3 linked regions of the Arabidopsis thaliana genome follow. The protein of the gene in region 1 interacts with the protein of each later gene in a pairwise test. Each region holds a gene or a part of one and is shown on either strand. Other genes may lie near its edges.

Region 1 (3,759 bases):
TGTCTTGCCTTTCATAAGTTCAAGAAATTTTCTGGCATCAAACCGAGGAAGCTCACACTGAGACGGTTTCCATCTCCAGTTCTCATATCCCTTGTCAGGTCTTCCATTTCCCTGGCAATTCTGCATCTGCGTCAGGACAGGGCAAGAGTTGTTCGTGTAGAGAGGTCCCCCAGGATCATAAAACCAACTACCTTGATACAAATCACACTCTACAAGCAATCAAAGATTTGAGTAAGCGACAAACTCATAACAGAAATATAAAACATCGAACAGCTAGAATCATGAGAAGCAAGGGAAACTGACAAGAACAGATCTATGAAACTGCTCTTCTTATTCCAATTCACCAAAACAGGTAGAACTCTCAACCAAATGCCCACAAAGCCTAGAAACTCTAACCCCTAAAACAAAATGCTGAGACCACCTTACAAGCCCAGCACTCACTATCTGCTCCCTAACCAAGTTTTTACTCTAATCTGCTATATTCAGTCCTCGGCTAGAATAATTACAGTAGGTCTATAGCTAAGAGTTTAGCCGCTGAATTTCTTTAAAACTTCTCAGAAACTTACGCCTTTCCATAGAAATGCAAAACTAAATGTTCTATAACATTCCCACACTAGCTTAGTCTTTGTTTATTGAAATTTAAGCTACCATAACTCAAAATGTTCCAAATACGACAAAAGCTACGGAAATAAGCGTTTAAAAGATAACAACAGTACCTGGTTCTGCTGAAGCAGTTTCAGAGACATCATCTGGAGGAGATGATGCACTTGGAGTGTCTTCAGCCTTGGAAACATTGGTTTCACGTTCACCTGATTGAACATCAGTCTTTTCAGTTATATCCGAAGAAACCAAATCCTCTTTTTCTTGTGTCAAAGGTGTCTCCAACTTCCTATCACTACTGAAATCTGGAGGTGGTATACTTTTGCTAACAACAACAGGTAAGCCAGAGCTAGAATCAGAAGTCAGATTTTTATCAAACGCATTGATGTCACTACTCTTCTGAAGGATATTGACAGTATGGTTGCTCAAAGATAAAGGGACATGAACTTGTTCAGGATTCCCTATCCCATAAAATATGCCACCAACTGAAGAACTATTCGGATACGAAAGACGAAGCAACAATCCGAAAACAAAGAATGATGCCAAACCACCAATAGCAATTGCAACTGTAGACACTTTCCGAGGAAATCCAGCCGCAGCTAATATAGAATTATTCCTAGGAGAACCAAAAGCCATGGTTTCTTCACTAGTAGATACCCAGAACCAATACAAGCAACAAGAACCAGAGCTTATAGGTGATAATTCAATATCAACATTATTCAAAATGTTATCTTCAGGGGCATGCAATACGCAAGTGAACTAAGTGAATCTGTTACTTGATTCAATCTTCCACTGGATCACAGATAAGATTTCACCTTCTTCAGGATCTGGAATCTGGAAGAGCAACACTATGAGCAAACATACTTAAAGGCGAAAGAAGAAAACAAGATGATCGATCTAATAAATCATCAAATAGCACAAATCCAGAATATAAATGTGAATCTAACTCAGATTCAGCTCAAATCATTACGTATTCAGATTTTCAGAAAAAAAACAAACAATTTTTCAGAAGATTATCTTCTTCACTAAGCAGATCCAAACGAAGAAGAAGAAGAAAGAGAATCTACGAACCTAGAGAAAATGATCCTTGTTGTCTTCTTGTAGGTGAAGCGAGCTCAGAAGATTCAGAAGAAATCCACAACAGTGAAGACGCGAAATCAAAAAATTAAACAAAGGTTAGTTATAGTTTTATTAGTTAATTGTTTTCCGGAAATAATCAAACGAATTTAGTGGTAATTTATTCCTTAAATTAATCATTTGTTTCTTCTTCCGGAGCCCATTAATGCCGTCTGTGATCTCATCGGCGCGTATACGACCACGCGATGATGTAAAGTTACGAAACTACCCTTCGGTCAACACCACCATAACATTGCGTATATTTCGAATTTTGTAACATTGCTAATATTTCGAATTGTTTGTTTGTCACTTCGCGTTATATGACACAACGATTGTTGTTTTCACATAAAAAAAAAAACCCTACTAGTCATCATCTAATGTAACACTCCAGCATATGACAAAATCGCCGAAATATTATTTATTATTATATAGGTAAAATAGAATTACAATATGCTCTTCTATAGTATATAGTAATCTAAAAAGTTGCATCATAAAATAAATTATTAGAAAAAGATCGAAAATAGGTGATATATCATATCATCATTACAATAGGTGTGAGTCGTCCGTCGCCTCTGACTGGTCCTTCCTTTCGGGCACGATAGCAGGCATAAGCCACTATCAGTGCGATGATGATTAATACACCGACTGAAATTCCAGAAATTGCGATAAACTTCATTGGATCAGTCCCCATGTTTGTTTTACCACACGCACCCAGAAAAAAGTTTATTTCTACTGTTTTTATTTTTTGTCATGTCTTCTTGTGACACAGTATGTTTACATTTATTTACAATTATTTACATTTCTGTTAATAAAGTCCGTGAAATTTGTAAGTTTTACATTTTATTATTTAAGAAAATTAACAAGGATGAACTGGAAAATTACACTTTAAAGAATATTAATTAGGAAGAAATAGAAATTATACATTTTTATGGTACTTTGTTGATCTTCATACCATCAAACTGGAAATTGTACATTTTAATAGAAAATTAACTATGAAAGAATAGAAAATTTACATACGTGAGCATGTAGTAATTTAAGGCTATCACAAAAATTCGACATTTTATTTCAGAATATTCTAAAATTTTGATATTTAGGTAGCACATTATCAAATATTGTAAAATAAAATAATGGCCAGGCTTATACGATTTGAGATTTGATTCGTATCCATGAATGCCATACTCGATGAGTAGTTACTGTTGTGTGTGTATTATAGTTTTTGCTAGTTAATGTTGTTTTTACTCCTACCGCATAAAATGAAATAATGAATCATCTATATATACATTTTTGCAGCCATTTTGTGAAATAAATCTTAGAGTTGGGACTTATTTACTAGGCTGCCATTGAGTATTAATTATTGATTTTTTTCCAGCAATAAATTGATTAATAAACTAAAAATATTCCAAATATATTCAGCAACTATTTAAAACAAAAAATGTTTGACAAACAAAAATATAATTGCAATCCCTTAAAATGAGCAAAACCCACCTAAATATATTCTTTATCTATCCAATAAATCTTTTTTCTCCAAAATTTGAACTAGATTTTGGCAACTATTTTAAACAAATATTTGTTTGACAAACCAAAATACAATTGCAATCCCGTAAAATATTTCTTTTAATTATATATTTAAATTAGCGGTGTACCGCGGTTTTTTTTTACGGGGCGGATTTGGCGAGACGGGTTTGGTAAGACGTTATTTAATAACAATTGTAAACTATAAAATAAAAATAAATAGATTTAATTTGCAAACTTTTATATATACTAATTTAAAAAATAAGTTGTCCGCGGGTTAAAATCTAGTCATGGTTATTTTAATTAGGTGAAATCAGCCTTGGATAATTTTAAAAACTAAAACCAATTGTTTGTAAGTAAAGAATTAATAAATTAGTGTAATTTCTAAGTTTTCAAATTATTATATAAATAAAATAAATAAATATGTATTTATAAGCACAAAAAAAGGAAATGGTGCGTATTCCTGGTACAATAGTTACTTGTCAGATCCCCATTTAAAACATCTCAAATTGGTTGAAAAAAAGTCACCAA
Region 2 (3,759 bases), 1.4 Mb from region 1:
ATGTTTGTCTTCATCGCTGCTCCTTGCACAACGAACAGTGAAGCCATTTGGGTGAAAACCACAGAGTAGAGGATGGTGCAGAGCCAGATTGGTAAGAGTCTTAATACACATTTCACTTCTTCGACTTGAGTCACCGAGCAGAGCCTCCATGGATCGTATTTCGATCCGCTCTCTACTTTCTCAGCCTCATCATCAGGTGTAACAATAGCAGCTCTATCCAAGAATCTGTAGAAAATAATAGAGAGAGAGTTAACACTGATCTTGACGATGGTTTCTGAGATTATAACAGAACTTTTAATTGGTTATCTTACCTGAAGCCTTTGGTATGAAGAATCTTCTTATCTCCAGTGTATTGAGTCTCAGAATCATAGAGATTCAACTCTTCATGGTGCACATCAATCTTAGCCTTTCTTGTTGCAGCAACCAACACTTGGCAGAATCTAGACCAAGGACTCTCTCTAGGCGTAAAGTGTCGGTACTTTGGCGTGCCAATCAAGAAAAGCACTAACCCCGCAAAAGCAGAGCCAGCAGACGCCCAAAATCCAAGCGGCCATTCCCCTTGATCCTCAAAGTAACCCAAGACAGTATTTGAGAAGAGCGATCCAAGATTCAGAGCCAAGTAAAAGTAACTGAAAAACGCGATTTTCGAGTGTCCTTCAACGGAATCCTCCGCATCAAACTGATCAGCTCCAAAAGTAGCTATGTTCGGCTGATAACCACCATACCCTAACGCGATTAGATACACCGACAGATAAAACAGAACCGTCTTAAACGTCGAATGAGGCTTACACGGCGAATCTTCAACTCCACAACCACTTGGTTCAAGCAATAACGCACCAGTAGATAAAGATAACATCATCAACCCCTATAATCCATTAAAACATGTTAACTTATTGTTAAAGAAACAAACCCTAGAAAAAGACAGAGCAGTGTTGAAGACACTTACTGCAACGAAACTTGCTTGAAAGATAGCACAAGTCTTGTAACGTCCCCAATAAGAGTCACTGAGGAAAGCACCAAGCAAAGAGAAGATATAGACAGTTCCTGTCCATTTACTAACATTATTAGCCGCTTCTGCATTGTCTTGTCCCATCACTCGAGTCAGAAACAGAACCAAATTCACTCCTACACCGAAGAACGCAAGCGTAGCTAGTCCTTGATTCACTATATCAACCAAAAACCCATTTCTTTAGAATCCAAAACACAACACTTTAAGACAAAGAACAGTGGTATATATAGAGAGAAAGAGAGAGAGAATCATTACCTAGAATGAGAATAGCAGTGAGCCATTTGCCGGTATTAGCTCGGATAGCTGGATTGCCGTGACGATCAACGCTACCGTCTTGAGTGCAAACCTCAAACTGTCTAACTTTTTGATCCATAGATTCGATTTGGTGTAGAGATATACTCAAAAAGATTCCTTATCTTGATGATCCTAATGATTATGATGATTATCCAGAGACCGGTTAAAGAGGAAACCGGTGGTTAGAGAACAAAAGGATCGAAAACTCAGGAATCGAGGAAAGTGAAGAAGTGAAAAGAGAAAGATATTTAATAGTGATATTGAGAGTTGCATTAAAAGTGTGAAGAAGAGAGCTTATATTTATAGAGAGCTCAGAAATTGAGTCAGAGAACTCAGAAGAGATCCTTTCTTTGACGTCTCTTTCTTTCTATGGTGTTTAATTTAATCAATTTAATTGTAAAGGTTTTGAAACGGGCTGCTAAAATATATGTTCGGTGGATTTTTCTCGACAGAATTTTGTTATCTCAATAATAATCATATGCTATTTTAATTTTTTAACTAGTTTTTATGAATAAAAATTAAAAGAGATAAATCTAAATGATCTTTTTCGTTCTAAAATATTTATTTAATACGAAAAGTAGTTATGTAAAAATTTTAATTTGAAGAGAATCTGACTTTGTGGGAAAAAAACGGAAATGCCACTGTTATATGCGAATAAAACCATAAATTACGGTATAGGAACTTAAAACGTAGTATTGAAAATTGGCATCCCTAAAATCTATGAAGAAGGAGAAACACCTGGTTAAAGGTAAGCCAAGCGAATGTGTGACCAGTTACACCTGGAGGGCTGCTGGAAGAGACTGATAAAATCAAAAAACATGAGGGAAAATAAAAAGAGTAAAAACCCCAAATAATTGTTCTTAAATAGGAAAAAAAAAAGAGGGGAAAAAGTGAAAGTAAGAAAGTTCCCCACTAAAACAGGATTTGGTGTCTCTTTCAAGCACGCTACGCTCGTGTGTAGCTGTATTCGATTACGACTTTCCTCACTCCTAACTTATATTATAATTGGTTCTATTCTTAATCCATGTTTAAGCCCTAATTTAAGTCTAAATCTTTGATACGTTTTGGTAATTTTCTTTTTGTTGTGTTAGATCCTTTTCTGTGTCTCACATATACTATGTTTTTATCTTTCTTTCTGATTTTTTTTTGTGAACAGAATTGTTTATCTTTCAAAAATAGGATTATATTTGATTTCATATTTGGATGGATAAATACAAACATGTTTGGTATTTGGCAATCCAAACTTTAATTTATACCAATTCGCTGATTGGTTAATTATGAAACCTAGATAAGTGAAAATATGAAATACATCTAAATCTTCTATAGTATTTTACGCAAATCTTATCTGTCGAATTAATGTCTAGATTCATTGAAGCTTGGGGATATTTACAAATTCCAGCTTTTTTACCTAAGAAAGTTAGACCTAAATCTGAATCGAACAATCTAAATTAATACACATTGTGTCAAAAAAATTTGGATCGAAGTTTTAATGATCACGAAAGAACTATGTTCTAGACTTCTAGTAATGTCCTATAACTTTGTTACGTCCTACTAAATTAAGTTAATTAACCATTCACAAGATACTACGTGCATCTTGGTTAAGAACAAGTTTAGGTTTAAAAAAAAAAAATGTTTAGGTTTAAATACTAAATGTAGAACAGTGGTAGTTTTGAACGGACATACCTTGATTTAGGTTTTGATATGGATGATCGGCAGTTGAAGTGTTAATATCGCCTGATTAAAATCCAATTTGTCCACGACAATTTACTAAGCAATACAAAGTCGTTCTCTTTATATATATATTTGTGTTGCATAAATCAAAATTCAATCATAACAACAAATAAAAATATATAATCAAAATCCAACACCTTATTTTAATAGGACTCAAATATGAGTTATAAATTCCTGATTCCCTGAGGATTTAGAGTTACAGTATATATATGAAATATTTCACTTAAGTTTATTTACTCTTCTCATTAGAGTACTTTTCAATTTAAAGTCTATTTACTCTCATGATTAGAATTAGTTCATGAAATCTTTACAAGTCTCAATGATGTAATATAACTATTTGGTTTATCGTGTCTTTGAACTTAAAATCAGACTAATATCTAAATATCTCTAAATCATCACGTAAAGTATGTGATGCGTATACTTGTATGTGAACATGGTAAATGGTTGTGCTGTATTGGAAGGAAAGTTTGGACTATACCATTTGAATAACTATGCGATTATATCATATATCAAAAGTTAATTTACGCCTAACCAATAAATTTTTTTTAAAATGCGAATATGATATAATGTAATATAACCCAACACGGATCCAACCAATCCGACTCGTAAACTTTTTGCCCACCACATCAGTAAGGAAATTTATTCAAAATGGTTAGTTAGATACCGGATATATATAATCTATATCATAAGCTCATGTAAGACATATTCATCATCGCTTCAATGCA
Region 3 (3,759 bases), on another chromosome or scaffold:
GCAGAGGATTGAGATTGGGAGAATGTACCGGGTTTCCCGTTTGGATCGGCAAGGTCTAATCGGATCCAAATTTGGGGCACAGAGATTCGGGTTACCTAAGAAACTGGGTCGAAAAATATCTTGCTGAAATCCAGAAGGAATCTTACCATAGAGTTTGTTATCGGAGACGTTGAATTGATTAAGCTTGAGCCTCAACAGCTCCGCCGGAATCTCACCGGTGAGTTGGTTGTTAGAGAGATCCAGGTAGTTTAAAACCGGTAAATCACCGAGTTCCGGTGGTATCCCGCCTCGTAAACGGTTGTTGGAGAGATTTAATTCGGTTAACTCGGTGCACGAACTCACTGAACTCGGAATCTCGCCGTCGAGCATGTTCTCCTGCATCTCTACTCTCTCTAGATTCTTCAATTTGTTGATGCAAGACGGAATTGATCCTAAGAAACTGTTGCGGCTAAGATCGATGACTCTGAGATCACGGAGATCACAAAGTTTGACGGGAATCACACCGGAGAAGTTGTTAGCGGAGATTTCAAGCTGAGATAGATGACGAGCTTTGGAAATCGAAGGAGGAATCGAACCTTGTAATTGATTGTTGTTGGCTAGCTCAAGACGAGTAAGAGGAAGTTCCCAAAACCTAGCCGGAACTTCGCCGGAGAGTTTGTTATCCGCCATACGAATGTAATTAAGCGAATGACAATCGCCGTAAGATTCCGGAATTTCGCCGCTTAATTGATTGCTGAAGGTGATAATCTTCTGAAGTTTTCTTCTGTAGCACAAATACGGCGGCAATTCACCGGAGAATCTGTTCGTCGAGACATCGAATTCAGAGATTTCTGAGAATTTCCCGAGATTCCTTGGTAACGTCCCCGTGAAACTGTTGTTGAAGATTTTGAATTCAACGAGATTAGGATTCAAAGCTACGACATCTGGTAATCCTCCGGTGAAGAAATTATCATTGAGATTGAAAGAGATAAGTTGCAGAGCAGCGATCTTTTCCGGTAGTTCACCGGTTAGATTATTCTGCGAGACATCAAAATTCCTCAATTCGGTTAAATTTCCGATACTCTCCGGTAATTTTCCAGATAACCGGTTATCGTAGAGCTCAATCTGGTAAACCGATTCGAGTCTTCCGATACTCTCAGGTATTTCTCCGGTGAGACTATTCATAGCTAAATCAAGATTCTCTAACAACACCAGATTCATGATCGAATCAGGAATTTCTCCGACGAGGTTCGAGTGAGTTAGCCGAAGATCAGTCAGATTCGACAAGTTCCCCAAGGTTGATGGAATCGGACTAGGATCAAAACTGATGTAAGCGAGATCAAGACGAGTTAACTCAGTCAGATAACCCAAAAACGCCGGAACGATTCCACTGAGCGGGTTACCATTAAGATTCAGAACTTGCAGAGCAGTGAGTCTCCCGTAACTTTGAGGAATCTCACCGGTGAAGAGGTTTGATTCCAATTCGAGGACTCGTAATTTACGAAACTCCGGTGAGAATTCCGGTAATTTACCGGAGAAGTTGTTTTGATTGAGAATCAAATTCTGAAGTTTAGAACAGAGGGAGAGAGGAGCAGAATCAATCGTACCATTGAGATTGTTTTGAGAAAGAGTGATGTTGATGAGTGTACGGATACGACAGAATCCGTAGGGAAAGCCACCGGAGATATTATAGCCGGAGAGATCAATGGTAGTGACGGCGAGGGAGCTACCTTTTCTGATGTGGCATGTGATTCCCGTCCAATTACATGGACTCCGATTATCTCCGGTTATGACCCAATCTTGTAAATTTCCATCGGGGTCGAAAAGTCGGGTCTTTTTAACTCTACTCAATATCTCAGCGTCTCCATTGGAAGAAACTTGGAGAAAACAAGAAAGAAGAAGTAAAGAGAGAAAGAAGAAGAGATTAGTATTGGTGAGCATCGTGTTGGGAAGAGAGGTATGAAACACGATGAAGGAGGTGAGATTGTGTTCATAGAATGGGTTTTTGAAAAGAAGAAAAAAGTTGAGTAACGTTTAAAGAGTTTGAGATTGTTATTTAAAGATGGACGGATTTGCTGGTTTTTTTTGCTTTCTTTTGATTCACATGGGAAGTAGGTTTAAGTTTGAGTGACAGTTTCTTTCTTAAGTGTTTGTTTGGAGTCTTTTAGCTTAAAGAAAAGTTGAGAAAAGGAATCTAGAAAACTTTTATTAGTGTTCACTCTTTTTTGAAAACGCCAACGTTATCTCCCTTTTTTTGTAGTTGGGTAGATGAACCTAATAATTTAATTAATGTATGGTAAAATCGACTAATCTAGAAAGATCATTCGTTCATACGTTTGGTACAAATTTGCTTATCGGTAAGTTTTCATTATAAGAGGAAGGAAAATAACAGTATGATTGTGAAAAAAGTGAAGTGCGAGCAAAGCGTGTGTTAAAATGTCCAAATCTCTTCTTTTTTTTGTTTTCACCTAGCACAGATAAGCAAAATGCAGAGCACAAACAGAAAACATGAATATTAATGTACGTTATCATAATAATAAGACGTATTTTGCGTGGACGTATTGTAACGTTTCACTCTCTAATTGTAAGCTAGTGGTATTAGTGTGCGTGAATTTTCATAATCATAGTTGCATTCTCCTAGATTCTGTACGTTTTTTTGGCTTCTATTGGTTGTTTAATGCATAGGTTTGCGGTTGACATATAAAAACAACATGCTTGACTTCAGAGTCTTTCGATGTTTTTGATGAAGTCAGAGTTCATTGTTGTTTAATCAATTACTCCTGCAGTTATGTTGATGGTTAATTGAACAACAGTTAGAGTAGCTTTGAGTAGGAGGTTGGTAAGTGTCTCTTAAATGGATGTATTTAGTTAGAACAGAGAATGTTAGGTAATGTGTAGACTTTGTTTGATCAACTCTTCTTTAGTCATCAGTTAGGCGCAGTTAATGTCTACTCTTAAAATTAATAATTTAACAGTGAAATGAGACTTTTTACACTCGCAGTTTTGTTGTATCAATGTTTTCTTCATTACTAAAGTTTGATGGCAAGTGTAAAAGTTAACTTCGGAATTAAATGGAAGGAAGCCATTTGGGGAGACACTAGAACCACATTCACGTATGACTCATCGGATTTTGAGGCTTCTCTACTTTAATTAGCATTCAACGGGAATGACATTCACGTATTATTTAACGGGAATGACATTTGCTTTATTTTCATTTTTTGTTTGCGTTGGAGTATGCAATTGCCGGAAGACACTCTTCGTCGCCGTGAAGACACTTCTGTCTGATTAAATATGTACTGTTATAGGCAACATTTTATCTTTCCCAAAAACCCCATCCTAATTTTTCTAAATTCATATAAAAATTCGTTTTTAGACTCTTATAATTAGCCACTATTATAAGAAGTACTCCATAAAAAGGGGGAACAAGTTTGTTTAAAATCCTCAAATTTTATTTTTAAAATGGATGAGAGAATATAATATACTTCTTCCGTTTCATAATATAAGTTATTTTGGACCAAATTTTTTGTTTCACAATATAAGTTGTTTTCAAATTTCTATTATATATTATTTTAATGTTTTATAATTATTTCTATTATGCAGTGTCTTTTATGATTGGTTAAACTTTTTAAAAATAAATATTCTTAATCTGCGTGCTTTTAGCTAAAACAACTTATATTGTGAAACGGAAAGAGTACCATATATACTAAATCTAATCGAAATATCCGATTACCCAAAAATACATTGGTTACTACTCTTTACCCAAATATAACCAAAATACTC

What was found.
Region 2: the proteins of TBL18 (region 1) and NRT1.8 interact in a protein complementation assay, tested with the Arabidopsis thaliana proteins (one large-scale study listed by BioGRID).
Region 3: the proteins of TBL18 (region 1) and HSL2 interact in a protein complementation assay, tested with the Arabidopsis thaliana proteins (one large-scale study listed by BioGRID).

The regions. Positions count from the first base shown.
Region 1 is NC_003075.7:12,967,664-12,971,422, reverse strand, and holds the start of TBL18 (TRICHOME BIREFRINGENCE-LIKE 18), read right to left. Parts: upstream 1,865-3,759; 5' UTR 1,672-1,864; exon of another isoform or gene 1,435-1,671; 5' UTR 1,237-1,434; coding exon 717-1,236; intron 210-716; coding exon 1-209. UniProt on the Arabidopsis thaliana protein: May act as a bridging protein that binds pectin and other cell wall polysaccharides. Probably involved in maintaining esterification of pectins. May be involved in the specific O-acetylation of cell wall polymers.
Region 2 is NC_003075.7:11,518,195-11,521,953, forward strand, and holds the start of NRT1.8 (NITRATE TRANSPORTER 1.8), read right to left. Parts: upstream 1,612-3,759; 5' UTR 1,383-1,611; coding exon 1,265-1,382; intron 1,165-1,264; coding exon 947-1,164; intron 866-946; coding exon 312-865; intron 226-311; coding exon 1-225. UniProt on the Arabidopsis thaliana protein: Low-affinity nitrate transporter. Involved in nitrate removal from xylem sap. Not involved in oligopeptides transport.
Region 3 is NC_003076.8:26,290,533-26,294,291, reverse strand, and holds the start of HSL2 (HAESA-like 2), read right to left. Parts: upstream 1,921-3,759; coding exon 1-1,920.